Linked DNA regions of Bombyx mori. The protein of the gene in region 1 binds, or shares a complex with, the protein of each later gene. Links are inferred from orthologs where the notes say so. Each region holds a gene or a part of one and is shown on either strand. Other genes may lie near its edges. The genes, in order: protein unc-45 homolog B and Hsp90.

What was found.
Region 2: the proteins of protein unc-45 homolog B (region 1) and Hsp90 are in contact, whole or in part, in a crystal structure (PDB 4I2Z), measured with the Caenorhabditis elegans proteins. The link is inferred for Bombyx mori from reciprocal best matches to the Caenorhabditis elegans genes unc-45 and hsp-90. Residues at the interface, in NP_497205.1 of Caenorhabditis elegans: Arg12, Asn16, Val19, Tyr31, Val48, Arg51, Asn52, Met55, Lys59, Val81, Lys82, Phe85, Arg86, Asn113, Asp114, Ile117; in NP_506626.1 of Caenorhabditis elegans: Ser696, Arg697, Met698, Glu699, Glu700, Val701, Asp702.

What each region holds. Positions count from the first base shown.
Region 1 is NC_085122.1:9,732,992-9,749,638, reverse strand, and holds protein unc-45 homolog B, read left to right. Parts: upstream 1-9,516; 5' UTR 9,517-9,999; coding exon 10,000-12,771; 3' UTR 12,772-13,000; downstream 13,001-16,647. Other genes in the region: chaperonin subunit 6a zeta, read right to left, coding at 750-949, 2,630-2,766; MOG interacting and ectopic P-granules protein 1, read left to right, coding at 14,223-14,244, 15,011-16,647.
Region 2 is NC_085133.1:8,893,644-8,910,327, forward strand, and holds Hsp90 (heat shock protein 83), read left to right. Parts: upstream 1-5,620; 5' UTR 5,621-5,712; coding exon 5,713-7,863; 3' UTR 7,864-8,174; downstream 8,175-16,684. UniProt on the Caenorhabditis elegans protein: Molecular chaperone that promotes the maturation, structural maintenance and proper regulation of specific target proteins involved for instance in cell cycle control and signal transduction. Undergoes a functional cycle that is linked to its ATPase activity.

The DNA.
Region 1 (16,647 bases):
AGTACACACTTTGAAAACTATTATCAATGACCAAGTAAAGTGCAGGAATGTAGGTTATTATATAATATGTCAGAGATGGTCATTAGTCTGGTAGCAAAACAAAGCACAGCACTATCACGATTCCCTTCAGAACTCGGTTAACTTTGTACTACAACAGAGCCTAGCCAATGGAGCGCGCATAGACGCACTTACAAACCAGGCTTCTTAGGCAGTGCCTCCAACTTAAGAGCTGCCATTCGTTTTTGTTTGCTAACGTCAAGAGACGATTTCTGAATTGTTCTAAGATCACAAACGTGATTTGTGTACTCAATATTTCTCTTAACTCGATCACCCTATTCGCCCCCTTCGTCTGACGATGGTTTTAATAATGCGGTTTCTCCGACATATAGATAAAGAAACTGATAAACAGGCCAATGCTGGTAAGCTGACATTCTACAGCTGTGCTTCATTGGAATGGTCAGTAATCTGCAGGAATTTTTACTGGTGGACCTCTTGTGAGTCCGCCCGGGTAGGTACCACCACCCTGCCTATTTCTGCCGTGAAGCAGTAATCCGTTTCGGTTTGAAGGGCGGGGTAGCCGTTGTAACTATACTGAGACCTTAGAACTGATATCTCAAGGTGGGTGGCGCATTTACGTCGTAGATGTCTATGGGCTCCAGTAACCACTTAACACCAGGTGGGCTGAGTGCTCGTCCGCCCATCTAAGCAATAAAAAAAAAGGAAATATAAAGTTAAATATATATAACAACCTTCACTGATGAATATGTCGGCCTGTTTAAGTAGCTCTCCAATGAGGAGGACAGTAGATGTTGTACCATCTCCAGTGGCATCATCTTGAGCGGTTGACGCTCGAGCAATCAGTGAGGCTGTAGGGTGCTGGATTTGCATCTCATGTAACAAAACATTGCCATCCTTGGTGATCTTTATGTCCCCAGCACCAGAAACCAACCTGGAAGGAATTTAAATAGTCATTGCATTATTAACAAAATGTTACACAATTTTGATTTCTCAAAATGAAAACCATTAATAATATTATAATATTATGTTGTTTAGAAAATAATGTGACAATTATTATGGAGGCAAGCATTTTGAAGTTATTAGAATATTAGAATGTTAAAGAGCTAGAGCTGGAAAGGTGGCAATTTTTTGTTGTTGTAATTGGGTGGAGGTTGCTTAAGCTCATGGTCCACCTGGTGTTAAGTAGTTACTGGAGCCCATAGACATCTACAATGTAAATGCTGTTACCCACCTCGAGATCCAACAGCTGCCCCACTCTTCGAATCGAAACGCATTACTGCTTCCCCGTAGAAATAGGCAAGGTGGTACCTACCCGTACAGACTCACAAGACATCCTACCACTAGTCAAATTATAATTTTCAGGTTTGATTTTTATTACACTGTTTTTCCTTCACCGTGGAAGTCAATTGTGAACAACTGTTAAGTATGTATTTCATTAGAAAAATTTGTATTCGGGATCCAGGGATTCAAACACTGCTGCATCTCTACATAAAAATGCATCAGACATCTTATCCTTTAGACCACAATGAGTATCCATACAAATGGTTTTCTAGTATTCCATTGGAAGCTAACGAATTATAACTTAAAAGTTTAACTTCATTGATACCTAATCTATGAAATGTGTATTTGCAACTAATGGCCTAAATACTAACAAACTTCAGGATACTTTAATAAAAGACAAATAAAATAGGATGTATGTTTTAAAAAAAAACGGCTTAATTCTAACAGTACAGAGACTGAGAATGTTTTAACTACAATAGCAATTGACAATTCCATAGCATATTAAGTTTAATCATAGTTCTGCAGCAGAGCCTATGTCGTTAGGGAACAAACTATGGATAACTGCATAGAGCCAACAAAAAACGCTTTCAGTGCTACTGTATTGAAATAGAAATATTGTTTTCCGAAAGTTTTTAATTTTTTTATTTATTACAAATTGTAACAGTCTAACGTATTGTACAGGAGTATAATAGAAATTCAAGTTCTTTTTTAAATAAAAAAATTGTTTTTTTTTTGCCAATTTAAGCATGTACCAATCTCTTTTAATAACTTTGGATAAACTGTGACAGTAAAGACTTTTTTTTTGTTCAGTTTTGTCATTGAATAACTAAAAAAAAATAGAAGATAAAAAGATCTATGTAGATGATTAAGATTTAAAGTTATTTGAAACACCAAAATTTAATTTTATTTAATCTATATTATACAAAGAATAGTGCACTATCGAAATAATCATTGTTCGTTCACTCGTCACGAGTTAACTCTGGTACAAGTTTGGTTTTATGAAATAAATGATATTGATGGGGAGGGGGTGGTGGTGGATCGCTTTTTATGAATACGTGATATGCTTCTCTGGTACTGTTCGAAATCATAAGATTTGTTTAGACGGCATCGCAATCGCTCAGGCTTAGTGTTTTCTAAAGTAAAGCATGTAGGTGATAACCAATCCTTAGTATGTGTAGCGCCTCAAACATGTGAATTTTGAAAGGTGTATATATCTGTAATTACTTAGTTGTGAAACAATGTTTTAGTTGGATATGATGTCAAAGGCCGGAAATATTATGTTCTACAAATTACATTAATAGTTTTAAACGTAAATAGCTCTATAACTTACATTTTCATCGTGCCTTTCGGACCAAGGTTAGTTTTCATTACATCTTGAATTCCTTTAGCTGCGGATATATTTACAGCAAGTGCCTGTGCAGCACGAGCGAACTCGGCTTTAGGATTTAATAAACTAATGGCAGCCATTTCGTTTAATACGTTTTCAGTTTCAATTAATCACGAGGAAACTCTTTCGTACAAGCCGATATCAAAAATGGATCACAGATTTTACCATAGATTATAAATTTCACAGACTACAATTGACGTTGACTACATAGAGATCCTACGTGCTAGTTTCCATTAAAATTGTCACACCGGTCACTCACATGCGCACGAATACGCAAACCCACAAGTGTAGGACGACATTTGCGAATGATTATGCAAAGTTTTCGCTGCATTCGTGGTTTTCCAAGCTGTGTCGGTTTTTTAACAGACATCAAAGCGCGCGAACCTCGAACCTTCGCGTAGTCTCCCACACATTCGCTTGCCCAGTTGCGCCGACGATTGCGAAGGTAACGGACGTTTTTTTTTTTTTTTTTTTTTTTTTTTTTTTTTTTTTTTTTTTTTTTTTTTTTTTTTTTTTTTTTTTTTATGATTGAAAGTTTACTGGTGGCCCGAAGGCCTTTCCAGTTTCACCAGGACAGGTGGGCGAGCAAAGGCTCAGCCAAGAGGGGTGGGATTTGCTAACAACTGCCCGAGCGCCTCCGAAGGAGACCTAACAACTCAAGAGCAATTGTTTCGCGAATGAATCTACTACCGGATCGGAATCGCGACCCGCTGAGAAGATCCGGCGAGAAACTCAGCGGGCTGATGCATGGGTTAGGTTGCACGTCGACCTCTTTGTCGAGTTCGACGAGTACGGTTACCGGGGTCCCTAAGCCTGCCCCTAGTATTAGAGCTGAAGGCATCTAATGCAAAGGTTATTGGATCTGATGGATCCGTAAGGACGTGTCTAGGGCGTCGACGGTGACTGGCTCCTGCATGATCAGGATTCGGGGAGTAGTCAGCGGCGGCAACGATAAGGCGATTATCATGACGCATAGCCTTATCGAAGTATCGTTCCGACGCTGACTTCATGTATTTCCGAATTGATTCGAGGCCCAGGTCGTCGTGTAGGTCAACGTTCCTCACGAACCACGGAGCCCCGACAGCTAACCTGCAAAAGCGGGATTGTAGGGATTGGAGGGTGTCTATGTGTGTGCGGGCCGCGTGAGCGAACACCACACTCGCGTAAGTCATGACGGGCCTTATGCAAGTTTTGTAAAGTGTCACCTTGTTCCGAAGGGACATTTTACTCCGCTTACAGATCATGGGGTAGAGTCTACCGAGAATAAACGCGGCACGGTCACGGACTGATTTTATATGCGGGCGGAATGTCATCGATGCATCCAGGGTAACGCCCAGGTACTTGACCTTCCTGGCCCAGGGTATGGGTTGTCTAAAGAGAGTAATCGGGGGTGTGAGATTCCTCCTCCTAATCCGGGAGGAAATCCGTGTGGAGCTTCCCCTCTGAAATAGCACCGCAGTACTTTTCGCTGGGTTGATGTCTATGCGCCATTTTCGGAACCACTGTCCTAGGGCTAGGGCTGCGCTCTGAAGCTTCTTCGCGATTAGGGACTTATTTCTACTAGAATAGTAAACAGTCGTGTCGTCGGCGAATAAAGCTAAATGGGTCGGCGGCGACCGGGGAACATCGTTGACGAATAAGCTAAATAGGAGGGGTGAGAGGACAGAGCCTTGCGGGACTCCAGCTGTGAGAGGTCGTGGGGAGGAGCGGGTTCCCTCGACTCGATATCGAAAAGAGCGGTTCGACAAGAAGTCCCGTATGATGAGCACGAGACTATCCGGCACGCCCATGTTGAATAGTTTGAAAATCAAACCATTGTGCCAGACTTTGTCGAACGCTTTTGCGACGTCGAAGAAGAGAGCTCCCGTGTATAACGGTTTTGGTCGATTAAGCCCCACAAGAATGTGCTCCGTGAGGCGGTGCACCTGTTGAACGCATGAGTGATTTGTACGGAATCCGAATTGTTCATCGATAAGAATGCCCTTGGATGAGACGAAGTCTCTGAGGCGTTTGTAGAGCAGACGCTCATACAGTTTGCCTAGAGACATGAGGAGGCTAATCGGGCGGTAGCTCGTCGGATGATTTTTTGGTTTACCGGGTTTATGTATGCCGATAACGTCCGCTTCTTTCCACACCGCGGGAAAGATACAGTTCGCCATAGCGGCATTGAAAATAGATGCCAACATCACGATGAGTTGGACGGGTAGAAGTTTAATAACGCGGTTGGATATACCGTCGGAACCGGGAGCCTTGCGAGGACGTAGGTCTTTGATCAAGTCTTTAACTTCCATCGGGGTGACGGGTGGTAACGCATCAGAGGGTGGCAAGGAGGCTCTGCGTTCTACCTCACTGTCTACTAATTCTACATGAACAGGGTCCACGGATTGAGTGCTGGGCGTGCACTGGGTTTGCAATGTATCGGCCAGCAGCTCTGCTTTTTCGTCATCATCGAACGCCGCGAGTCGGCCTGAGGGGCCTACGAGGGGGGGCATACTTACTACCGTATCCGATTTGAGAGTACGAGCTAAGCGGTAGTAAGACCTTTGGGAGGGCGCGAGTCCTTCTAAGAAATCAGACCATCTGGCATCTCGGACTTCGGCGATGCGAGACTTTACGTCGCGTTGTAGGGCACGCATTCGAATACGATTTTCCGCGGTAGGATACCTGTCGTAGGCGCGTATCGAGGCGTTCTTAGCTCTAAGGAGTTCCCTAATATCGTCGGACAATTTGAAGCGGTTAAGGAAGTCCTCCGCTACAACTTGTTTCGATGACCTATCTAATGTCGAGGTAATGTGTGACGTTAAGATGTCTATGGCTTCAGCGGTATCCTGAGGAGACGGGATAGAGTCCGGGTTAAGCGGGAGCGATGGTGGATCAGATTCAGCCAGGCTGATGCCCAGCGTGTGCCAATCCACCACAGTCCTCGTGACGGGAACGGAATCGGGAGCGCGACCGAGCTTCATAACGACGGGACGGTGGTCTGAATCTAACTCTGAAACTACTTCGATCGAGTGTAAGCGCAGAGTTACGTTTTTTAATAACGCTATGTCGAGTATATCCGGGCGATGCGCGATATTTAGCGGGTAGTGAGTCGGGGTTAGCGGAGCGACGATATCGAAGGCGAGATCATCGACTAACGCGTCAAGCCGCCTGCCATTCGGGGTTGTGGTGTGTGAGTTCCACCTGATGTGTTTACAATTTAGGTCGCCCGCCAGAATGACAGAGCTCCCCATACCGAGCAGCGCCTCGATATCACTGCTTAGAACGATCTTATCCGGTGGAAGATAAACGGACGCGATAACGATCGGCGCGTGTCCCGTCAGTGAGATTCGGCACACTGATGCTTCGATATTAGCGAGCGCGGGAGGATCGAGCGGGACGCAATGCAGGGCTCTTCTATAGTAAATGACGGTACCACCACCACGGGCAGAGAGCCTGTCGTTCCTGACCATGTTATAGTTCGCGATTTTAGGGTCACGGCGCGCGGGCTTAAGTAGGGTCTCCTGCACTAAAAAGATATCAATTTGGTGGTCACGCAAAAAGTCAGAAACCTGATCACGTTGATTTGCGAGACCGTAAGCGTTAAAAAATCCTATCGTTACGGATAGGGGCTTTATTCTACTTATATACGCCATTGATTACCGGCGGAGTGAGGGGAGGACGTACGTATTTAATGACGCGTATACGTCGGCGTATTCCTGCACAACGGCGATAAAGTGTTGTGCAGTGGAGGCAGCGCGAATGGCGTCGCCCAAAGCGTTAACGCGCTCAAAGTTGATCGACTGAAAGAAGTCGATCGCTAAAGCGAGATTGTCGGACGCGGTCGGAGGGCAGGTCGCGGGAGAGGGACGAGTCGCGGGGGCGGGACGAATCGCGGAGGAGGGAGTTGTAGCCGTGTTCGTGTACGGCAGCGGTTTTGCCCAGGCCGAGACACTGGGCACCGCCGCCGGAACGAACGCTGGCTTAGCCTGCGACGCAGAGGGTGCCGAGGCTTTGATGTCTGGGCCGGAAGCTCGGAGGCGGTTTTGGCGGGCGACGCGGCGATTTATTTTAGGGGCTCGGGGGCAACCACGGTAATTCGCGGGGTGACCCTGTGTTCGACACAGGACGCAGCTAGGCGGTTCCGTCGCGGTTTTTTGGTCGCGAGCGCAGAGGGCCGTGGCGTGATCGCCCAAACACTTAACACATCGGGGGCGCGCGTGACAGTTACGGGAAGAGTGCCCGTACAATTGACAGTTATGGCACTGGCTAGGAGTGCCTTTTTTATGGGGGGCTTCGACAGCGATACCAGAGAGCCTACAGACGGTCTGTGTGTTAAAGATTTTCTTACCCTCGGGGGTAGGCTGGAGAGCGACTAGAACCATATTATATGGCTCCCTACCGCGACCGGTGTGCATACGGTGCACAGAATTCACTGGTAGGCCTTGTTCTAACAGGTCGGCTTTTACGAGCTCTACATCTAACTCTTTAGGGATTCCGCGTATTACAACGCGGAGTTCGCGCTCCTCCTGGAGCGTATACGTATGGAAACTTATACGCTCCTTACGGAGGTAAGAAGAGAGGGCCCTATGGTCGTCGGGTGTTTGAACCTTAATTTGAATGCCGTTCGCGAGGTTACGGGCATTCGTGAAATTTATATTTTTGGCCTTAAGGGCCAGGCAAACTCGATCCCAAGCTGCCTTCTCCTGAAGGATAACCGGGGGAGGGGTCTGGGTTTTATTTTGTGCCACCGGACGCGGCGACGGAGTGGCACGGGCTGGGGGCGCAACGGGAGTCTGAGGGCGGGGGCGCGACGCGTTCACGGCTTTGCTAATTTTAGCGGCCGCGGGAGCTCGAGACTCCGCGGCACGCTTCTTACCCTTCTGTACCAGGGTGAATCCATCCGTCGATGAGGCGGGGGCGAGGTCGACCTCCATGTCCGAGTCAGAGTCGGAGCACGAGGAGGCGGGTGCAGGCGACCTACGAGCAAGTGTAGGTGTTTTAGAGGGCGCGACGGAGGCCGCGGATGATCGCTCAGCTGAAACGATGGTCACGGCGGACGACGCAGCAGCTTTTCTCGCCAGTATAGGCGACACGGGAGCGGCAGGCACGACAGAGGCTGCGGTGCTCAATGCAGAAGCTCTGCACGCAGGTACAGGCGACGCAGGAGCAGCGAGCGCGGCGGAGTCCTCGAGAGGGCTCGCAGTGTGATTGGCCTTGAAGGCCAAAAACTCCGAGGCGAGCTGTGGGTGGCGAAGTCGGAGGAATTCCGCGAATACAGCGTCCATGATCGCTGAGTACCCAGGTGGGGCGGCCCCGGGTCTTGAAAACACTCGCCTTGCGGCGAGGCCCCAACTACTCGGACCTGAGCGGTTCTATTGAACACAGGTGGCAAAGCGGCGCGATTACTACAGGACAAAGAAAAAGCACAACAAAACAGAAATTACGAAAAGAAACAAAACAAATAAATACTTGCAGGAAACCACTTTGTCGGCAGATGTACCACGAACACAGAAACAACAAAAGGAAACAAAACAAATAAAAACTTCCAGAAAGAGCACTTAGTCGGCAGATGTACCACAAACACAGGCCGCGCGAACAATGGCCGGGCTAACAAAGACCGGGCGATCGAGTGGACGATGAGCACGTCCGCACGTGACGGGTGCCTCTATCGGAATGGGTAACGGACGTATACTATACGCCATTTTCATAGTTCGTGACGTCTACTGTGTAGCGTATCTTCATCAAAAGAAATCCCATAAAAACAGCATGGCTGTTAATGATGTCTGGGAAGGAATTAAAAACTCTTTTTCTCTTCAATGTTCTATTGACGAATTAAAAAGGAGGAGAAATTCGTGAGACATTCGTAAACAAGTGTGGGAGGAAGCGCAAACGGGTTCGCAAATTGAGTACCGAACCCATTTGCACAGCTGCTAGGTTTGCGAATGAATGTTTGACGGCCCTTCACATGCGCGCAAACATTCGTACAATGTACGAATATTTGCGCGCATGTCAGTGGCCGGCATTAGAGTTTGATTAAGGAAGTAATGGCAGGCAACACTTGACACATGTAAGATTACAGATTTCGAATATTGGAATGCTTTTAAATGTTTAAATCAAACGATTGTCTTCTCGTCAGTGAAGACAACGACTTCTCATCTAGACACGGTCAGAGCAACATCTAAGAGTTTTGTATAGATAAAATATTATAATAGTGTAATAGTGTTCAAAGTATTTGCAATGTAATTATATTAATCATGAAGCAGAGTGTTTTTAAATAGCCCCTCACCTACAGGACACAGTCCCCTCAAATTTTACTGTCTAACCAAAATTTATAAATATCGAGATTATATGATTCTAAAACTCGATGATGACGAAGCTGTTTTTAAAAGTTAGCTTTTTTATTGCTTAGATGGGTGGACGAGCTCACAGCCCACCTGGTGTTAAGTGGTTACTGGAGCCCAAAGACATCTACAACGTAAACGCGTCACCCATCTTGAGATATAAGTTCTAAGTATAGTTACAACGGCTGCCCTACCCTTCAAACCGAAACGCATCACTGCTTCACGGCAGAAATAGGCAGGGTGGTCCTATCTACCCGTGCGGACTCACAAGAGGTCCCGCCACCGGTAAGTGTTGCCGTTTTTCGCAACGTGCTCAGCTTAATCTCATTAATTCAGTTCGATAGCATTCCCCATTTCTTGCCATTCCAACAGCTCTAAATAACGCCGACCGGGTCCTATTAAATCCCCCAAAAAATCTAAAAAAAACACAAGCAGAACCTTCGTAGTATGAATATTCGGCCGACATGATAGCGTAGATTCATGATCGGGCAGTCCTCAAACTTTTTTTTTCCATAGGTTGCTGTATGTATTGAATCTATTTTTCATTATTGGCCTCGATGCGATAAAGAAAACCCATCCTCTTGTACTTAAAAATTACGCCCTACAGCATTTGTTTTCTTCGACTCACAATGAACGCAAATTCCATGTATATGAATCTTTCCCAACGCATGCAATGGTTTGGAATATGGTGATTAGTTAGTAAGGACACAGTTAGGTATAAGATCAGAACCGCACAATCAAGAACGATTCATCGGCTAAAATCGATTAAAAAATCGAAGTTTTTCATCAGTAAAAAATATCTCTAAAAAAAGAATCTCAGATCGACATCCCTAGTTTACACATTGGGACAAAAATAAAATTCTATTTTAGTTCGTCTTGAAATGAAACCACCAGATTTTACCAGAATAATCTTCATTTACATTAAGCAGGCTGTAAAAGAACTGTGAAGAATAAAACGGAAATTGGCTTCGCAGATAAACGGACTACACGATGGTTGTTCAAGAGGAAGCAGAGTCTTACAAAAATAAAGGAAACGATGCTTTTAAATCTGAAAACTATCAGGAGGCAATCACTTTTTACACTAAGGCGATAAATTTGGCCGAAAAAGGCAGCCGAGACCTTGCAACATATTTAAAAAATCGGGCCGCAGCCTACTTAAAGACCAAAGAATTCGAAAAAGTGATCAGTGACTGTGATAAAGCTCTAGAAATAATACCAGAAGATCCGAAAGCCTTGTTCCGGAGATCGCAAGCTTTTGAATGTTTGGAGAGATTTGAAGAAGCCTACAGAGATGCCAAAACAATATTTACTGTGGACCCAACTAACAAAGCTGTCCAACCTATTCTATCACGTCTACACACTGTAGTACAAGAGCGAGCTCGCCAAAATGCTCAAACAAGCAATAAAGTGGAACAAATGTTTAAGTTGGCTTTTGGGTTAGGTGAAGATATTGAAAAACGTGAGAAGGCCATGGCTAACCTATTAGTTTTAGCGAAAGAAAACAGTGGTGCTGAGGTAATGTTAAAAAATGGTGTAGTTCAAAGAATTCAACAACTACTAAAAGTGGAAAAAAATTCTGAAATTTACATCAATGCTATCCGTGTCATAGGTCAAATTTGCAAAAAGAACATTGAAAGAACAAGAGCAGTTTTGAAAGTTGTTGGGATACCGTGGATTTTAGAAATCATTGACAGTACTGATGAGAAGAGAGTGAATGCGGCTCAGTATTGCCTTCAGATCATACTTAACTCATTTTCAGGGATGGACAATAAACAGGAATCAAAACCTGACCCTAAACTTTGTGAGGAAAACAAAAGTGAAATAGATACTCTACTCACCTGTATCACCTATTGCATCACCAATAGGGTTATCAGTGGACAGGCTAGAGATGCTCTCATTGAACTAATCATGAGGAATTGCCACTACAGTGCAATCAATTGGTCAGAAAGATTTGTTGAAATCAAAGGGCTGCACAGATTATTAGAAGTTTGCAGTGAACTGGATGAATATAAATATGAATCTGCCATGAATATCACAGCATCCTCAAGAACCATAGCAGCAGCTTGTTTAGCAAGAATATATGAAAACATGTACTATGACCAGGCGAGAGAGAAATTTAATGAGCAGGTAGATGAATTTGTTAAAGACAAACTGCTCAGTCCTGATCTGGAATCAAAAGTTAGAGTAACTGTAGCCATCACTTCTCTACTTAGAGGCCCATTAGATGTTGGTAACTATGTTATATCTAAAGATGGTATTATAGAAATGATTCTTGTTATGGCTCAAACTGATGACCTACTGCAGCAAAAAGTCGCCTGTGAATGTTTGATAGCAGCTGCATCCAAGAAAGACAAAGCCAGAGCCATACTTACTAAAGGTGTTGATATCTTGAAAAAACTTTACCAGTGCAAAAATGATGCAGTCAGAGTAAGAGCCTTAGTAGGCTTATGTAAAATTGGCAGTTTTGGTGGTGATGATGCTTCCATACGCCCATTCGCGGAAGGTTCCACAAAAAAACTAGCAGAAGCCTGTAGAAAATTTTTGGTAAATCCATCTAAAGATAATGACGTGAGAAAGTGGGCTGCTGAAGGTCTCTCATATCTAACCTTAGATGCAGATGTTAAAGAGAAACTAGTTGAAGATAAGCCAGCTATTCAAGCTCTGATTGAGTTGGCTAAAACTGGTGATCAGTCATGCCTATATGGTGTTGTAACCACTATAGTTAACTTGTGTAATGCATATGAAAAGCAGGAAATGATGCCTGAAATGTTAGAACTAGCCAAGTTTGCTAAGCATCATGTACCCGAACAGCATGAATTGGATGATCCTGATTTTGTAAGCAAGAGAATATCAGTATTGACAAAAGCTGGTGTAACCAGTGGCTTGGTAGCATTGGCTAAAACGGAGAGTCACAACTCAAGAGAACTCATAGCTAGAGTATTCAATGCTATTTGTAATTTGCAAGAATTGAGAGGCCTAGTTGTACAACAAGGTGGAGCAAAAGTTCTAATACCAATGTCTCTTGAGGGTACTCAAAATGGAAAAAAACAAGCTGCTCAGGCTTTAGCCAGAATTGGGATAACAATAAATCCAGAGGTGGCATTCCCTGGTCAAAGAAATTTGGAAGTCATTAGACCTTTACTGGCATTATTACATCCAGATTGTACAGCCTTGGAAAACTTTGAAGCATTAATGGCTTTGTGCAATTTAGCTGGAATGAATGAGACAACCAGAAATAGAATAATCAAAGAGGGAGGTTTATCTAAGATTGAACATTACCTATATGAAGACCATATGATGCTTATTAGAGCAGCCACACAGTGTATTTGTAACTTACTTCAGTCTGAAGAAGTTGTCAAATCATATGAAGGAAAAAATGACAAAACCAAATTCTTATTCCTACTGTGCCAAGAAGAAGATGAGGATACAGTCACCGCTGCAGCAGGTGCTTTGTGTATATTGACTTCAGTTAGTAAAGTTTGCTGTCGAAAATTACTAGATGTCGAGCAATGGCCTGAAACACTAAGGTGTCTTCTAGCAAATCCAAACTCAGAAATACAATACAGAGGAACCTATATGTTGTACAATATAATAAAAGATGACAAAGATTTTGCTGCAAAAGTATTTGAGACTGATATAATGGAAATATTAATGGCACTGTCTAAATTAAATGATGAAGCACACATCAGAGCCAATGAATATGCTCAAAAATGTTTAAATGCAGCTGAGGACTTAGGAGTCATAAGAAAGCCTGAGGCATAATGATTGGTGTTTTTAAGAAATTCCCAAATAAATTTTGAAAGAAATAAATAATATTGTAGGATTGTTTTGTTAAAATATTGAAAGTAATATACATACATTATTTAGTTAAAAAATTGTTTGCATAGAATTTGTAATTTGTATTTATAATTTTTAAATATATTTTTTATTAATGGCATATTTTACCATCACAGGTTAGTTGCCAAACGAGCACCGAAATTTATCCACAATATTAGAGTTCTTTTCGTTTGAAATAAGTCACACTTTGAGATATGAAGTCGAAACCTCATTTATTTCATCTATCCTACTCTTAAAATTAAAAGAGATTCCTTCTATGATCGAACTATATAACTCTTGTGACCAGAACTACACAAACTTACTTGTTAATGTTACCCACTGGATTTCTCGCCGGATCTTCTCAAGTGAGTTGCGGTTCCGATACGGTGGTAGATTAAATAAAGCACTGCTCTGGCTATAGCAGTTGTTGGCAGCTTCTCTCAGGCTGAGCCCCATGAGTTCGCCTAGCAGCCTGAAGAAGAATGAATAGCCCCACGAGCCTACCGACCAAAAAAGTAAAAATAAAATGTTGAGACGCCTAAGTATGCTTGTAAAATTATTTGATAAAATAAAGTTATGAACGAATCATAGTTTAATGACTTTATTTCTTAAATAGCATTTTTCATAGAGTAGATGTGTGAACGACCATGTGGGTTTACGTGGTGTTAAGTCTAAATTACCACTTGGCTACAAGCAAGTTATTATAGCGTAAATACGCGCAATTAGAGCGAAGGCAGCAAATTTTCAATTGAATGCATTGCGTTGCTAAAAATAGTAACATAAATTTTGCAATCGCAATTACTAATGCTTTGGAATAGGAATCGTCGCCGAAATCGTCGTCGTGATTTAGAAACAGCTGGTACAATCGACTGAAGTGTAGACTGAGATTTGTCCGGAAATTTAGCGTTTTAAATATGGCGCGTTTTACTTTTTCTCATATATGTTGCGATTGGGCTCTGACTAGCTGAGCCGCAGCCGAGATGGATCGGGTGTAGGTGGGAAACATCTATGGTATGTACCGAAAATATATCTATGAGTCTATGAGACATACGCTGTGTCGGTCCTAACGATCATTTATTCACCATTGAATTTTACTATATTTCTCTTTCTATTGTTTTCAAACATAAGTTATCAAGTTATATTTTGCTTAATTTTTGGAAATCAAATTCTTTTAAGTCTTTTTTTATGATGTAGGTACATACTACAAGGATATTAACATTAGTAGATTAGTATTATAAATTCGGGTAAAATGTAACGGTAAACTATTTTTTTTCGGAACGCAACACGCCAAACTCCGCCAGAGACCTTTCTTTCAAAATGACAGCTTGATTTGGTTTGGTTTCCGCTACTGTACTGTTGTGCTATTTTTCGATTTTTAATAGGAAAATCCAAAGAAAATGTCGATTTCTACTGCTACAGGTATGCACCTTACTGTACTAAATGAACACATTTCATTTTTTAAATCTATTTCTTAGTCTTTACCGTCGAACCTGGTGGAGTTGTGTTCTTGTAGAAATGCCATGGAATCCCATATGGCGGTCCACACTTCACATGATATAATGACGCTATTCAATAAATCAAACATTTTTTTTGCTTGACCTACTCAATATGCTCTTAGGAGTAGCGGGAAACAATTATTTTTCGCTATTTTTTCACGATGTTTAGGTTACGATGATTGTCCGGTTTTTACTAGATTTCTAGTCTCTTCGAAAAAAAAAATAGACTTTTTATATACCGAAGTTTTTGTTACGTATATTGTTTTGACTTTCATTCCTGTTTGTGTTTAGAAAATTTTAGATAAAATAATCAAAACATTACTTTAAAATTTCTTGTTTTGTTTTTCTAAGTTAAGTGGAAGATAAGGCCTAATTACAGTACAATAAGTAACCACTACTACAAACTTCTCTACATTAATTTATTTGAAATCATGAAGGTGCTAATAATAATTTATTAGTACTAAATTACTTTGATATAAACAAAACTGCTTGCAAAGTATTAAATTAGGTAAAAATTAACAAACAAAATAACACAATTGACACTGTTACTTAAATTAAAATATTAGTAGTCAATGAGTATTACATTAATAAATAATCAATATACACTACAGTAGTATATTCTACAACTTCAGTGCTTTTATTGATGAAAAGAACAGTTTGAAATAACTAGTTGCATTTACAATTTACAGATGAACGCACAGAAGGTGATGATGACACCTCACAAGGAAGCCACCCAAAAGAAGACAGTAGTGACTCTGAAAATGAGACTGAGCCTCAAAATCAAAATGGAGGCTCTCCCGCACCAGAAGTTCATGAAATTACTAGTGATGATGATGAGGAAGAGGGGGGTGTAACAAATGAAGATGATTCCTCCAACTCAAGTACAGTAAGTAATGATAGTTCAGAAGGATCCCAACACAGTAGTAAGGAAACAGAGAAGAAAGACATTGAACATTTAGAAGAGAATGGTGCTGATGAGTCTGATATTGAAGAAATTGCTATGGAGGATCCATTAAACCAAACACAAAGCATTAACAAACCTATTGTGATAAATGATACAAAGTGTTTGGTCAACTTAGCTTCTAAACAGACTAAACCAAATGGGGATCAGAATAAAGAGCCTACAGTTGTTATTATTGATACAAATTCAATACTTGCTGGCAAAGGGCCTCTCCCGTTGCAAAGCAAAATGCATACAACTACTACTACTAGTATGATGGATCAACAGGACTTGTGCCAAAGCATTGCTGCTCGGGGCACTACTATCACACCAGTTAGTAATAAGACTGCAAATCAGAACAGTGCTCATAATAGTACTCCTGCAGCTCCACCTCCCAACATACTGCCATCTCTCACAGATGATATGTTTGTTGTTGAAGCACCATCCTTCATTGTTCCATATGTTTATGAGAAACCTTCTCTAAAGCCTTTTAGAGAATTTGTGGACAAGCTTGGTAAAGAGCTTGAAGAACTCAAAATTAAAGAAGAACAGGAAAAAGCAGAGAAGGAAAAGATTGAGAGGGAAAGGAGAGATAAAGAGAGGAAGGAAAGAATTGAAAGAGGAGAAATAGAGGAAGATGATGAGGTTAAGGAGTCCAGAAAACTAGAAGTTGCACAAAAGAAAGAGAAAAAACAAGGATGGAAACGCACTGATGATGATGATGATGATTCTTGGGACGGTGAATCATCCTCTGAGTCAGAGGAAGAAGCTCTCAGTGATGATGATGCTGTAGTAATTAAAGAAAAAGAGGACAGTGACACCACCGACCCAATCAGCCTTATTGCCAAAAGCCTTTCAAGTGGAAAGCCAGACAGTTACTTTGATTGTTCATTAGGACAATTTTTTATTAACATTGGACTGAATTTAGTGCAAGAGTATGTTCAAACTGATTTATTAAAGCAACAACAGCGCAAGCTCTATAAAGAGAAGAAATCAGGACGCAGTACCAAGTCAACGGAGGCTGCAATTGCATCTTTGTCTCAGAACTTAGATTTCAGCAAGAAAACAAATGCACCATTTGCTCTTTCACACAGAAGGTGTGATTTTTGTAGTTTTAAAACTGAATCTATGTTAGTTATGGCTCATCACCTTGAAGCACCTCACATGAGAAGTAACATATACAAGTGTAATTCATGTGAGTTTGAAATACGAAGTCCTCATGATATATTGTTCCATATGGAGGCAGAACACAATATTAGGGGCAGATTGGAACGGGCTCCTGCATACCAGCAATGTGCTAACTGTCATTTTGAAGACAACAGTAAAACAAAACTGGCTCGACATTTGATTGCTTGTGCTAAAAAATTCAAGCCAGAATTTAACTTA
Region 2 (16,684 bases), on another chromosome or scaffold:
CCTGGTATTTTTTAAATTGTCTTTATCATCCAAAATATCAGCTATTTTTCCCTAAAAAAGGGAGAATTCCCTAAAAGTGGAAGCACTGCTTCAAAGTACGCTAACCTTTTTTATTGAGTCAGAACTCGTATCTGCCATCTAGTGAGTTTATTAGTTCATTAAGGCCAAAACGTTTCAAAAATGACCTCGCCGGTTCCTAAAGATGACGCTAGTTGAATGTTCTTTTCCTTTGTATGGGAGTTGCACCCCCCTGTGTGTGATTGCAGCGCCCTCGCTTCGCTTATATATTTTTAAAGTTCAAAACCTCGAATTGTCGAGAAACTTTAGGAACCTTCGCGAAAGTTTGCTACCGCGCCATCTGTTGACGAATAGAAAACTCACAGTTATTTGTTTCAAAATAAATTGTTAACAATAAAATGTGGAAAATAATTTCGTCATGTCAATACTAGATGGTACTAATTAACATTATTTGTCTAGATTTTTAGCCGACTTTTGATATTGAACGATCCGATGCGATGCCATGACCGAACGTTCTAGTAAAGTCTACTGAACACTTGAACATTATTTTTAAATTATGGCCTTGATACCGACGCTTTATAATTTTTTTGGGCATGAGCTTAAAAATATGAAAATATTAAACAATCTACTTACTAAAGAACTTCAAAGTATGAACGCAACGTTTACAAAATTAACGTTTTCTTTATATGTATTATTTTATTTATTATTCTATTGAAAAAGAAAAGTATAAACAGAAACTAAAATGCAGAATGACATTAATTATCAATGATAGGCTATAATTGTGAACCCCTACATAATACGTTTTCTTTAAACAAGTCTTAGTCTTATGAGTATTCTAAAGTAAGCAGCGGCGTAGTTGTGATAGTGATAGGGTAGAGTCTAATCATTACTCTAATAATCTAAATTAAAAATAGCCGCGGATTTCAATTTTAGTTGAAAAAAAATTACATATGCTTAGTTTTGATAGTGTCTATTAGGAGTGGGTAATATCGGTTTTGCCGCGTATCGAATCGTATCTATATATCGAGGATCAATATCGGATATTGAATCTATATATTTTCTGAATCTATATATTGATGGATGCTAGTAGATTTTCTCGATTCATGATATTTGAGATTTGAAACGATACGCTGATATAATATCGTAGTAGATATAGATTTAAGTCAACGTTATACGGTTGGTTTTCTGATATCAATTTATAATATGATCTTAAAGTAATAAAAAGAACATGAAAATAAAAATATCAAAAAAACTTTCCTTCATGCTTTTACCAGGCTTAGGACTGGCTACATTATTTTCAGTTTTTAGTATTTTGTGTCTTAATTTAAAATTACAAAATATACCAAAAGAGTGTAGATTTCAAAAGTTTAATACAAACACAAGAAATAAACTCAATTATTTGGATTCAACTAAAAATAGAAAAATGTGTACTTTAAAAATCAAACACAAAAAACTTTTAAGTATTTATAAACACTTGTCCAAAAATTCTAGTTCAAGGTCAAAGCGCGTGAAATTAAATTCAACGATGCAAATAGGCTATACTGCATTCAAGTTAGGGTCGAAAGTTGAAACTTCTTTCCTTAACTGTATCCTGCTGATACGCTAAGAATAATCTACAGACATATGGACTTAAATATAAGGTTTACAATTGTATGGATAATGCCTGTTTCTGTTTCATTCATCACATGATATCCCTATCGTGCGCTCACTCACTCTGGCCGATTCGATACGAACCAAATGAATATTGCTGATATTAACGAATCGGTACGATATGCCGATGCGCATCATATCGAGCAATATCGTGTATCGGCTGATATCGAAATATAGATTTCGATTCACGAATCGGTACGATATGGCGATGCGCATCACATCGAGCAATATCGTGTATCGGCTGATATCGATATATAGATTTCGTGCGGGGCGATATCGGATTCAACGATACTGCTGCGATATATAGATATTGAATCTATATACGATTTATATCACCCACTCCTAACTGTCTATGGGTTAGTGACGCTCATTGTAGGTACCAACCACCACCTCGGGATGCCAGTACAGGGCGCAGGCAATTTCTTAATAAAACACATATTTTGGGGTCTAAGTTTATTTTTGCTTGTCTTGAAAATTTTTCACTGCTCATTTATGTACAACTCAGAACCAATATGGTGGTAAACGTTTTCCAAAGCCCATTAACAAATTATGTTTGTTTCCGATGCCCAAAACAAAAATCCTAGGCTGGGGCTATTAAATGTGGACGTCTGTTTAGCATTTAGACTAAAAACGTTTTATGTATTAGGCACATAATATAAAATGTTCAAAATAAGTACTGGTAAGATACGAAGACAAACGCAATAACACCGGTTTGAATATTGCCCAAAACAAATTTCAGGCGCAATAAATTTTGCAAACTCATTTATAACCTATTGTGGATTCTTTTATATTTTTCAACTTCTTAATTCCACCCTATTCTACAAAAGTCATAAACTTTATAAATTTATGGTTTCTTTAAATTAAAATCATTTAAATGTTTCCTGCGGTAATTACAAACTTAATTTTAATCAAATTTTTATTAATTAAATCATAGTTTTACAATTCGGTCCATTATGTCGATATTACGAGTCAAATTAAAGAAATAGGTACCTATGTAATTATATTCTTACCTATCTAGAACATGAAATTACGGATAGCTGTCTACGATACAGTGGCATTTGCATAAAATAGCTGTTGTTGTCAGGCATTTCAAATAGTGAAATAAACATATTCGAGCAGATTCTAATGCTATCTATTCGTTCAGTTTACGCAAAATTTGAAATAGTCATTAGTCTGAACTCAAGTTACCTTTTTTTAGTAAAAATGTTATCTAATTTTCCGTAACCGGAGAGTTTTTGTATGAAAAGGTCATTAAACTTAGATACATGATAAATTCTTTTAATTCCTCATTGTTGAAACACGTGTTTTTCTTAGGTTAAAACGCCGGCTTCAACAAAATTGGATTAGAAATAAGTATTGCCATAATTTTTTAAACGTCATATAAGCATAGGTAGATATTATTATAATTATAAAGTTGTCCTAAACAAGAAAAATCTGCATTTGAAGTGGCAAAGAATGTTACATTTGTTTAGGTATCTAAAGGTACCTACCTACCTACTATTAGTAGCATAGAGCGTAAACTTCTACGGCTCTCTCTACCTACCATAATCAGCCTCTAAAAATTAGTTCTAATTAAACAACTTGAAAAAAGATATAATTTACATTTAGGTTTTTCAATATTTTTATGTCCACAAGTTGAAAAGTTGAAATATAGGTTATGTTTTTATTTCCGTAATTCAGTCTGATTCAATTAATTATTCTAGGAAATAATCGGCATTTCCATGGCTCAGTTCGCTTTAAATATCGATAGTCTTTAAAAAAAAATTATGATGTGAAATCTGATAAGGTTTGCGCACTATGCGCTCATGCAATTTCAACTTTAATCAATAGCCCTAAAGCAGTGCTGCCAACAAATAAAAAAATATTTATTGTAAGTGAAATAACTAAATTTGTCAGAATTCATCGCTTCTTTGCAATTTTTTATTATGGTTTGTGTTTAATTATATTTTAAACGTGTTGATGAAATAGTAAGATGATTAGCATTAAATTTACACCACTTTCGTGAAGGTTTTCTGGCTAATCGTTTCAGTTTGTGTGGCATAAAACTATGGGCTATAACTATTGCTGGTGGGCGGAGACTTTAACAGCTTCATAAGGACGGGTGGATTAACTCAAAAACACAGCTTGGAGGGAAAGAGTTTGCTAATAGCCGCCAGAGTGCCTCCAAAAGGGGTTTAATAGTACTAGGACAGTTACTTTACGAGTGCATCTACTCCGTGTCGAGAAGCTTAGAGCTCAGTATCACATTCAAATCGTCGACGAGTTAGCTGAACCATGCTTTTATTGCTCTTGGCGTTAAAATTAGTAGTGATAATGAGAACGTATCAGGTGGATCTTGCATTATTTGAAAGATGAGACTAAAGATCTGTAGGTTTTGCGAGATAATGTCGCGAGGCAAAGATAGTTTCCTCTACCTGTAGATAACGAGAACACAAATTTGATACAGGGTGTATAGGAGGAGAAGACGAGGAACAATTATTTTAATGATTTCTGACATCTAAATGAACAATAAGACTTTACTTTTGATGAACAAAACAAGTAACTCATCTTAAACTGAACATTACTACGTTCTGGTTTGCTATTGTAATTTTAATCAATGTTTTCTCCAATCTACATTATGATACAATAATAGCTCATTATTCGCGTTTCCTTCACTCGCGTTTTCACTATTCGCAGATTAAAATGTGACCCGATTCCTATTTTCGCAATTAAAGATCTCTTTATTCGCGGATCTAATCGATACAATATAGACATTGATAAAAAGAAATCCAATATTCAGTATTCAACTGAATATCCTTTATAATCGCGCTATAATCACGGTTTCTCTATTAGCGACATATTTACGTAACGTATACACCCCGATAAAGAGATTTACTGTCCAAAAAAAAACGTCAAAAAATGGAACGAATTATGTGCTTTTTATTTATTGGTATTACTAATTTCGTTAAGAATTTCATCGGAAGCAGCCAGCGCCGAATGCGGTGAATAGTAAAACTATAAGAAGGAAGCGGTTGGAATGATCTGGGTAAAATGTTATTTCTTACGAATTACGATGATTCTTTGATTAAATTTGGAAAAGTTTTGTGGTCAAATTATTTAACATTCATCTTGTATCATTTATTGACTCTAATTTCAACTAAGTTATTTCTGTAATGTTAAAATTTCGATGCTTTTCTAGAATATTCAGGAATGTTCCAGATATTCTTGTGTGTAGATCGTATTGCCACCTTGTGCCAAATAGCGGCACTAAAATAATTCGGCAGAGCTATACAACATTTGGTAATTTTATTTATTTTGCTATTTTCCCCAGTTTTTTAAATTACTGTGTTTTTAACTAACAATTACATTTAATTGGATGCAATTTACACTGCCTTAATAAATTTTTTTTAGTTGTAATTTGGTTTCTTACATTTATGCTGTATATTTTTAGTGATCTGCAAAATGCGAAACACTGAACAGCTTAGGAAAATTTAAAATGTGAGATGTTTCTTTTACTTAAAAAGGTTTTTTCTCTGTTATGTTTTAATTATTTATTTAACTAGTCTGGCATATTTTAGTGAATCTATTGATGAAAATGTACGAAATATGTAATTACCTTTATAATTTCTTGAATTATTTTAAGGAAATATATTTTTCCTAACACTTTAAATTTCAAAGCGGGTGATACAATAATAACTAATACAAAAAGAAACTTGCAGTGTTAAGTAAATGATTTTTCTCTTCGTTTTATGGCCTCCCAAAATGAAATAATTGCCAATTAATTTGAAATGATTAATTATTTTTATTTAATATTGTTTCGGTTTGTATTGATGGTAAAATGTTGATGCTCTCTGACGGAAATAGCGTCAGAATCGAGAAACTTCTACTGATTCATAGATGTCGCTTGTTAGAGGAAAGTATAAAAACGAATTTACACACCGCGCCCGGCGTTATTTGAACTGAGAGAAGTACAGAGACTAACGTGCGATACTTTGCGCTTTGAAACACGTGTGTTAAAAACCCTCTAGTCATTTTGTGTGAATTAAACAAAAAGCAGTAAAGAAAATGCCGGAAGAAATGGAGACACAGCCAGCGGAGGTTGAAACCTTCGCGTTCCAGGCTGAGATCGCTCAGCTTATGTCCCTGATCATCAACACCTTTTACTCCAACAAAGAAATTTTCCTTCGTGAGCTGATTTCCAATTCATCGGACGCTTTAGACAAAATCAGGTATGAATCTCTCACGGATCCGTCAAAACTCGATAGTGGCAAAGAGCTGTACATCAAGATCATTCCCAACAAGAACGAGGGCACTCTTACGATCATCGATACCGGTATTGGTATGACCAAGGCCGATTTGGTGAACAATTTGGGAACCATCGCGAAATCTGGTACTAAAGCTTTCATGGAGGCTCTTCAAGCAGGTGCCGACATCAGCATGATTGGACAGTTCGGTGTTGGCTTCTACTCCAGTTACTTGGTCGCTGACCGCGTGACTGTTCACTCTAAACACAATGACGACGAGCAATACGTGTGGGAATCTTCTGCAGGAGGCTCGTTCACAGTCCGCCCAGACAGCGGTGAGCCCCTTGGTCGAGGTACAAAGATCGTCCTTCACGTCAAAGAGGACTTGGCAGAATTCATGGAAGAACACAAAATCAAAGAGATCGTAAAGAAACATTCCCAGTTCATCGGCTACCCAATCAAGCTGATGGTTGAAAAAGAACGCGAAAAAGAACTGTCTGATGATGAAGCCGAAGAAGAAAAGAAGGAAGAGGAAGATGAGAAGCCTAAGATTGAAGATGTAGGTGAGGATGAAGACGAGGACAAAAAAGATACGAAGAAGAAGAAGAAAACAATTAAAGAAAAATACACAGAGGATGAAGAACTCAACAAGACAAAGCCTATCTGGACCAGAAACGCTGATGACATTACCCAAGATGAGTATGGAGACTTCTACAAATCCCTTACCAATGATTGGGAGGACCATCTTGCAGTCAAACACTTCTCCGTTGAAGGTCAGTTAGAGTTCCGTGCACTACTTTTTGTGCCACGTCGTGCACCTTTTGACTTGTTTGAAAACAAGAAGCGCAAGAACAATATCAAGCTGTATGTACGAAGAGTTTTCATCATGGACAACTGTGAGGATCTCATCCCAGAGTACCTTAACTTCATTAGAGGTGTTGTCGACAGTGAGGACCTTCCTCTAAACATTTCACGTGAGATGCTTCAACAGAATAAAATTCTGAAAGTAATTAGGAAGAATTTAGTTAAAAAATGCCTAGAACTATTTGAAGAATTGGCAGAGGACAAAGAAAACTACAAGAAGTATTATGAACAATTCAGCAAGAACTTAAAATTGGGTATCCATGAAGACTCTCAAAACAGGGCTAAGCTCTCTGAGCTTCTGCGGTACCACACTTCGGCATCGGGTGATGAAGCCTGCTCTCTGAAAGAGTATGTATCCAGGATGAAGGAGAATCAGAAACATATCTACTACATCACTGGAGAAAACAGAGACCAGGTGGCGAACTCCTCATTTGTGGAGAGAGTGAAGAAACGTGGCTATGAAGTAGTCTACATGACTGAGCCCATTGATGAATATGTAGTACAACAGATGAGGGAGTATGATGGCAAGACCCTTGTATCGGTCACAAAGGAAGGATTAGAACTTCCTGAAGATGAGGAAGAAAAGAAGAAACGTGAGGAAGATAAGGTGAAGTTCGAAGGGCTGTGCAAGGTGATGAAGAACATCCTGGACAACAAAGTTGAGAAAGTTGTTGTCTCTAACAGACTTGTGGAGTCTCCTTGCTGTATTGTTACTGCTCAATATGGATGGTCTGCCAACATGGAACGTATCATGAAGGCTCAGGCTCTACGTGACACATCCACAATGGGATACATGGCTGCGAAGAAGCATTTGGAAATCAATCCTGATCACTCGATTGTGGAAACATTAAGGCAGAAAGCGGAAGCCGACAAGAATGACAAAGCTGTTAAGGATCTTGTTATCTTATTGTATGAAACTGCCCTGCTGTCTTCTGGCTTCACGCTTGATGAGCCCCAAGTCCATGCTTCCCGTATCTATAGAATGATCAAACTGGGTCTTGGTATTGATGAAGATGAGCCGATTCAGGTTGAAGAGCCTGCTTCTGGAGATGTGCCGCCATTGGAGGGTGATGCCGATGATGCATCTCGCATGGAGGAGGTTGATTAAGATCTCTACTTTAACTGTAGGAACCATGTCATAATGGTTTGTTTTTGTGCATCGGTGTACAGCCAAAGACTGATTTAGTTCAAAAATTCCATTATTTTAATAAATAATCAAAATGATTTTCTGTTGATTTTTTTTTAAAGTAACTTCATAATTGTGCCAGAATACTTACAATATTGTATCTTTATAAATGTTTTGTTACTGTTCGTAATGTAGGCAACCTTTGAAAATGTTCTTAGTGCAGTATTACACATTAGTAAATAGCTAAAGGTGAACTCTGAATGTATCAATAAAACTCCACTTATATGTGAAAAGCAGTTTAATTTTTAAGAACCCTTGCAGTTACAAATGCCATACTACATTTATTTTTCCGGAAGTTTCAAAAATTAATGTGACGCATGCCAAACAAATGGCTTGCTACACACGTAGTTTGAATAAATCTCTATTTAATTAAAATAGAATGCAACTGCATAAGTACTATGTAGGTACCTTGTAATCTATATACCTATATAAGTGTCTTGTTAGTTTCACTATTTATAACACAAGAACGGCTGAACTGATTTGGCTGAAAATTGGTGGGGAGGTAGCTTAGAACCAGGAGAAGGACATAGGATACTATATCCGTCTTGCCTTCGCCATTACCATAAACAAATCACAAGGTCAATTCTTAAAAGTTTGTAGTCTGAATCTAGAAAATGCATGTTTTTCCTATGGTCAATTATATGTGGCATGTTAACGGGTTGGAAGACCGTCTGCGTTATTTATTCTTGCACCTGATAATAAAACGAAAAGTTCGTCTTATCACAAGGTGCTTCACTAAAAAGTGGACGACCCCATGCACTAAAATACATGGCCAATAAAGAACCATTAAAATACTTGCTTTTTTAATTTACATTAATTATCCGAATAAAAATTGACCTTGATAAAATCAAGTCTGCTCATAGGTACATTGTCTCTAAGGCGGAACAAAGTTCGCTGGGTCAGCTAGTTATTGTTAAAAAACTCTTAAAATGACATACGTTACATCCACAATCTGCCCTATCCGATCTGATTCTAAATATCTAAGTAGGTATAGGTACCTAATCATTGATTAGGAATGAAAATTGACATACCTACATTTAATACGATATGCCATGTGATGTCATATGGCTCATGTGATGGTAATTGTTGACGGAGCCGACCAACATACTCCTTTACGGAAGGTAATATGCATTGATATTTCGTCGTGACAATGCCCTTCTGCTTACTAAGATTACTAGGTAGCCTAAGGGGTTATTCCAACTTCGCGCGAATGAGTACCTACGTGATCTTACGGGCTCAACCTAAGTATTTGCTAACACTAGTCCTAGCAAGAGCAGTGCTCCCCAGAATCCAACATCGCGAGGAATCGCGACCCATGAAGATCCGGCGCGACACTCGTGGGCTGTCTTTTTTTTTTTCCTACCTAGCTGAGAGCCTTGAGAGGCTATTTCAGCGTAACCTTAACTAGTAGGTGAGACGACGTTGCTAACACGAACCCTAGCAAGAGCCGTGCTTCGCAGAATCTACTACCGGATCGGAAACGCGACCCACTGAGAAGATCCGGCGAGAAACTCAGTGGGCTGTGTCTGAGGGTTAATTTACTCGTCGAGCCCTTCGTCGCAAGCGACGGGTTCGACGAGAACGATGACCGGTGCTTGAGGTACCTAAAAGCACCGTTAGTGGATCGGGAAGATCCGAAATGATGTGTTTGGGGCGACGTCGACTGCTTTCCATTCTATCCGCAGGATCGGGAATGTAATTACCGGCGGCAACAATGAGAGGGTGTGTCGTGCCGCTTTATTGAAATGGTCTGTGTCTATGGGAGCAATAATAGCTCAGCGGGTAGCACGGATATCCGAAAATTAACATTATTGTTTATTGTAGCGGTAGGCAGCGGCTTGGCTCTGCCCCTGGCATTGCTGAAGTCCATGAGCGACGGTAACCACTCACCATCAGGTGGGCCGTATGCTCGTCTGCCTACAAGGGCAATAAAAAAAATAAAAAAAATGTCATTATTATTAGGGAGTCCAACACTCATATTTTAGCCTATCCACTAAGTAGGTACATGTATTTTCTACATGGACACCAAGTTTCAAGTCAATCGGATGCATGGTTCAGTAGTTATAACGGAACATCCGTAAAAACCACTGTAGATTTATATATTAGTATAGATTAACAACATAACTAGATACTACATATTATATGCAATTCACGGGTCTTATACGTACATACAATTTCTCATGAGACGTTATTATAATTTATTACAGTTTGAGGTTGAAATTGCTAAGAATATTATAAAATGTTAGCTATATTTTTTTGTCTTGTGAAAGATTATTCACTTTTAGATTTGATTCTTTCCAATGCAGAGATTACCAAGTTTGGTGTTAGACGTAAGTACTGTTTACTCTTATGAGGTCTAATGTATTAGTATCCACTGAGTTTCTCGTCGATCTAGTACTAGATGCATTCGCGAAGCAGCTGCCCTTGAACTTTTAGGTCTCCTTCGGAGGCGTGGGCTGTGCACATGCTCGCCTACCTGTCCTGATGAAACAGGAAAGGGCTGCAGGTCAAAAGTAATATTTCCTTCCTAAAAAATACTAGTCTTATTTCTGGTTCTCAGTACCTAACGTGTATTTAATTCATACGTACTTGCGATGAATGTCTATTCGATTATTTATTAAGCATAAGCAAACAGCCCTCCCGATAAATCTTCGCTCATGGACGTCAACGGCAGAGAGAAAGCTAAGCCTTGTAGCTCTCAAGATCTTAGCTCTCAAGCAACACTCAGGACAGGAATTCAATCTAAAGCCACGTGTCTCAAACGAGCTCTTGAAATGTACTGCTTCTAAGTAGTAGGGGTAAATTGTGTTTGTGCGATTAGTGGAATTTATGGTAAAAAAAAAAATATTAAATATACACCAAACAATTAATTAATCTAGGTGATTACATTATTCGACGTGCTTGCGCCTGACGTTAATTTTTACTTAAAGTATCTTAAAAATGTTGTTTTAAAATTTATGTAAGGCGTATAACTCGAATATTTAAATTTTAGAACGAATATTATTGTAATTCAAAGATATTCGAGAATTCCTCTGTAATGCAAAAACAAGCTATGCAATTTAAATCATAGTCTGTTTCAACCTATACAAAATCTGCAATTTCTAGTTAGCATCTATGTACGTTGGTCAAGGTGGATCACGTACCTACCTAATTTGATTATTGTAATGTACGCCCTTAAAATTTTGAGATATGTCGGGAACCTGACTTACCACGATAGTAACTATAATTTAAAGACTTAAGAGGACTGCAAAACAATTATTCTGACCTTCCGTCCGAAAGCGTGAGCCCTCGCTTCAAGTGAAAGTTTGGGTATTCAAAAAAAAAAAGATGGTTAAAATACTCCTTAGCCAATACATATAAGACTTGATATATCCAGATCGCACGACCTATCACTCGTTCACACAACAAGAGCTTTACAAAATGCATTCGTTCTTGTCATTTCATTGAACATATTTTCAATATACTGTTTCGTTTCTGGTTACCCAGACCTTCTAGAGTCTAGACAATCTTACATTCGTTTAAACGCGTAGGTAAACTATACCATAAAATAATATTTTCTAGGTTCACATTAAGTAGTAGCAGTTTTGTGGATTGTACAACTGTGTACCTTTTTTTTTTTTTTTTTTTTTTTTTTTTCCACAGGAGAAAATCGCCGGATCCCCACCCGCGCGGCAGGTGGGGTATGTGGGAGTTGAACCTCACTAAAAACTCCTGCCGCTCACAACCGGCGCCCTACCTCGGACCGGGCCAGAGCCCAGTCGGGGCTATTGAAACGGCGGGACAGGGTTGACGCAGAGCACATTACATCCATCCCACCGTCCCACGGACGCCGGACCGGTGGCCGCCAGCGAAACGACCACCGGTTCCCTCGTTCAGCGGAACTGTGTACCTAGGTAATTTTGAATATTTTATATTTTTTTAATACACTGCCATCTATCGACATAACTGTGAGATACTCCACGTAATCTACTCCACGCTAGATGGCATACTCAAGCAATTTTAAACGACTCCAGAAACATTACTATACGTCCGATAACTAGATGACTATTCTAGAAAAATCTTCGGTCAATAAGGTTATTGGTACAATATAGGAAAAATGCTTTCTGCATGTATAATTGTATATCTGACGAGATTAATTTTTTATTTAAAATCAACTTTTTTCTAAATCTCCTGACCTAGTTTTTTTGAATTACATGGAACATTGCCATGGAACTTTAAAGTAATAATACAATAGGGCTCTCGAAAGTCCGATTTTAAATTAGATTGTACGTATATTTACAATAACAACGCTTATTATGTTTTTCTTTTTTTTTAAACCAAATAAAAATGACGTTATTTCATTCCGTACAAGTACTCCTTCTCTTATTCCGTTCTTAAATATTATATTAACGCGAGCTAATATCTCAAGTTATCCTATGTCAATATTATGTAATTTTTATTACGTAGGTAGATGGGTGAACGCGCGTCTTCTTCTTCTTCTCAGTCGTGTCACTCTTGACAGAGTGGTCGTGATCGTCATCTAGTGTTGGAAGGGGCGTACAGCCCACCTAATTTTAAGTGGTCGTATCCGAGGTGGTTATCAGGGCCCACGAACATCACAAAAATAATGCCACCATCCTTGGGATATGAAGTCGAATTTTCAATTGTATAAAGTCTGCTCCACATTTCAAACAGAAATGCATGATTCCTTCGCAGAAATATAGGTAGGAATGGTAGGAGGTAATATCTACCCGTAAGTGGGTATCAAAATACGTCCTACTACCAGGTAAAAGGCAGTCACGTTTAAATATAAGGATACATCATGAGCATTTTAACCCTTTGAGCATGTCTAGTACGTACGTCATCTGATTGAATTCCGCTATATTATATCCTAAACGCAATCATTTCTTTCTTTAGACAAGATCGCTTGAAAGATTGATAGGCTTTTTTTTATTTTTTTTTAGTGCTTATATGTGTGGACGAGCTCACAGCCCACTTGGTGTTAAGTGGTTACTAGAGCCCATAGCCCATACGTAAATGCCGTCACTCACCTGAGATATAAGTTCTAATGTCTCAGTATAGTTACAACGGTTACCCCACCCTTCAAACCGAAACGCATTACTGCTTTACGGCAGAAATAGGCAGGGCGGTGGTACCTACCCGTGCGGACTCACAAGGGGTCCTACCAGCAGTAATTACTCAAATTGTAATTTTGCGGGTTTGATTTTTATTACACGGTGTTATTCCTTCACCGTGGAAGTCAATCGTGAAGATATCTTAAGTAGGTACGTATTAAATTTCATTAGAAAAATTCGATTCGAACACCGTTGCATCGCTACATACCAATGCACCCGACCTCTTGGCTTTTAGGCCACGACGACTACATATGTTTGAATTCATTTTAATTGTGTATATGACCTAGAATCATGTTTAAAATACCTACATACATTTTTTTCCTGCGTGTGAGTAATTTGAGAAAATATTGTCATTCGAAATTAGATATTTCATGAAAAGTTTTAAAAAGTACATGCATAATTGTCATTGATTCACCAATAAATACATTCACTAAGATCAACCAGTTTATTCTGTAATAATTTTACGCAAACTAGAGTTATTATAGTGCTACTTTACGTCGATGACCTTCTAGAAATTTATAGCCTACGATTTTAAACTTCGAAATTAGCAAAAGCGTATGTAAGCTGTACCATTTCACTCACAAAAATAAATGATATAATAAGCACCACACACGTCGTATTGTAATAATGGTAATAAGTACAGCTGTTGTTGTATTGATTCCGAAAAGATGACATTATTTTGGGAACATTGAAATCACGGTGGAATTTTCTAGTGTCTTGTTCCATTCTTCAATCCGTTAGCTCAAGTCAGCTGTTGATGTAAACAATGATGTTTCCGTCTCTTTCTTCACCGCTTCGGGTAGCTTCGATGCCATTTTATTGGCTGTTGTAAAGTTCCATCTCGTTCTAGCTCGTTCCATTAGTGTTACCAGGGAAAAAAGTTTTTTCCGTAGAATGGTAGACGGTCACTTGGTGTTAAGTGGCTTTTTTATTTTTTTTATTGCTTAGATGGGTGGACGAGCTCACAGCCCACCTGGAGTTAGGTGGTTACTGGAGCCCATAGACATCTAAGACGTAAATGCGTCACCCATCCTGAAATTTAAGTTCTAAGGTCTCAAGTATAGTTACAACCGCCGCCCCATCTTTCAAACCGAAACGCATTACTGCTTCACGACAGAAATGGGCAGGGTGGTGGTACCTACCCATGCGGACTCACAAGAGCTCCTACCATCAGTAATTACGCAAATTATAATCTTGCGGGTTTGATTTTTATTACACGATGTTATTCCTTCACCGTGGAAGTCAATCGTGAACATTTGTTGAATAGGTACTTATTTCATTAGAAAAATTAGTACCCACCTGGGATTCGACAACAACAAATGTTCACGATTGACTTCCACGGTGAAGGAATAACATCGTGTAATAAAAACCAAACCCGCAAATTTATAATTTGCGTTATGACTGGTGGTAGGACCTCTTGTGAGTCCGCACGGGTAGGTACCACCACCCCGCCTATTTCCGCCGTGAAGCAGTAATGCGTTTCGGTTCGAAGGGTGGGGTAGCCGTTGTAACTATACTGAGACCTTAGAACTTATATCTCGAGGTGGGTGGCGCATTTACGTTGTAGATGTCTATGGGCTCCAGTAACCACTTAACACCAGGTGGGCTGTGAGCTCGCCCATTTATATAAGCAATAAAAAAAATTAAAAAAAATTCGAACACCGGTGCATCGCTTAACATGAATGCGCCGGACGTCTTATCTTTTAGGCCACGACGACTCAAAACACAGCACAAGCAGAGTTATGAATGTAAAAAAAATCACTCTACTAAATAAATTTAAATCGTTCAATAAAAGTTTCGTATTGCACTAGATATATATTTTTACTTAATTGGACACTAAGGTTCGTAATAAATGTCATCACAGTTAACAGTAGGTATATACGACTGTGGAAATGGTTAAAAACATTAGGAAACAAAAAATGGTAAGATGTAGTAATTTAAATTTAAATGAATAAACTTTAAATTCAAATTGAGATAAATTTAACGCAAGTAACAAAGTTTAGAAAAAGTATAATTAATTAGAGAGAAAGTTGTTGCATATACATTGACTTCATTTAATTAGATTAATCTTAATTGAATTTTACTAGTGGGAAATTAGTGCACTAAAATCAGATTTTGGTTTGTGACCTTAACGTTTTTGACGATATTCACTTCCGATACCATACTGATTTTTAACTATTTTTAACTATTTGATTTTAGGTAAATAAAAACTGATTTCTAGGTAGTCCATATTTTTTTGTTGGCTTGCCACCCTCAGCTAACGCCTGACTTTGGAGAGTAGTACAGATATATATATTTGTACTTTTCTTGCTACGCTGCGATTGGATAGATTTTAGCTTTCTAGAATATTCGATGGAAAAGCGGTCATTATTGGCGGTTTCCAGTGAAGTGTAGATTATTCTCGAATCACGTTCATTCTGTTTAAATATGCGACACCGCTGGCGGGAAGTCAGAATTATTTGAAACGCAATACGAAGCAGACGAAGAGAGTTCAGTGCAAACTGAAAACAAGTTTTTCGACGATTTATTTATTGTTTATTGTGAAGAAGTATCTACAGTGATTAATATTCAAAATGCCAGCTATCGGAATCGATTTGGGAACGACATACTCATGTGTTGGAGTATGGCAGCACGGGAACGTGGAGATCATCGCGAACGACCAGGGCAACCGCACCACACCATCGTACGTCGCGTTCACGGACACGGAGCGTCTCATCGGCGACGCAGCCAAGAACCAGGTCGCCTTGAACCCTAACAACACCGTGTTCGACGCGAAGAGGCTGATCGGGAGGAAATTCGACGACCCCAAGATTCAGCAGGACATGAAGCACTGGCCCTTCAAAGTGATCAACGACTGCGGCAAACCGAAAATACAGATCGAGTTCAAAGGTGAGACGAAACGATTTGCGCCAGAAGAAATTAGCAGCATGGTGCTGACAAAAATGAAGGAGACGGCGGAAGCCTATCTGGGAAGTACAGTGCGGGATGCGGTAGTCACAGTTCCGGCATACTTCAACGACTCCCAGCGTCAGGCCACCAAGGACGCCGGAGCCATAGCCGGCCTGAACGTGCTTCGCATCATCAACGAGCCCACAGCCGCCGCGCTCGCGTACGGTCTCGACAAGAACCTCAAGGGTGAGAGAAATGTTCTTATCTTCGATCTGGGTGGAGGAACCTTCGACGTGTCCATCCTGACTATCGACGAGGGATCGTTGTTCGAAGTGAAGTCCACAGCCGGCGACACGCACCTGGGAGGCGAAGACTTTGATAACCGACTAGTCAACCATCTTGCGGAAGAGTTCAAGCGCAAGTACAAGAAGGATCTGCGCCTGAACTCTCGCGCACTCCGACGCCTCCGCACGGCCGCTGAGCGCGCCAAGAGGACACTCTCATCCAGCACCGAGGCCACCATCGAGATTGACGCTCTGTATGAGGGCATCGACTTCTACACGCGAGTCTCCCGCGCCCGCTTCGAGGAACTGAACGCGGACCTGTTCAGGGGAACTCTGGAACCCGTCGAGAAGGCACTCAAGGATGCTAAACTCGACAAGAGTCAGATCCACGACGTGGTCCTCGTCGGAGGCTCCACCCGCATTCCGAAAGTACAAACTATGCTCCAAAACTTCTTC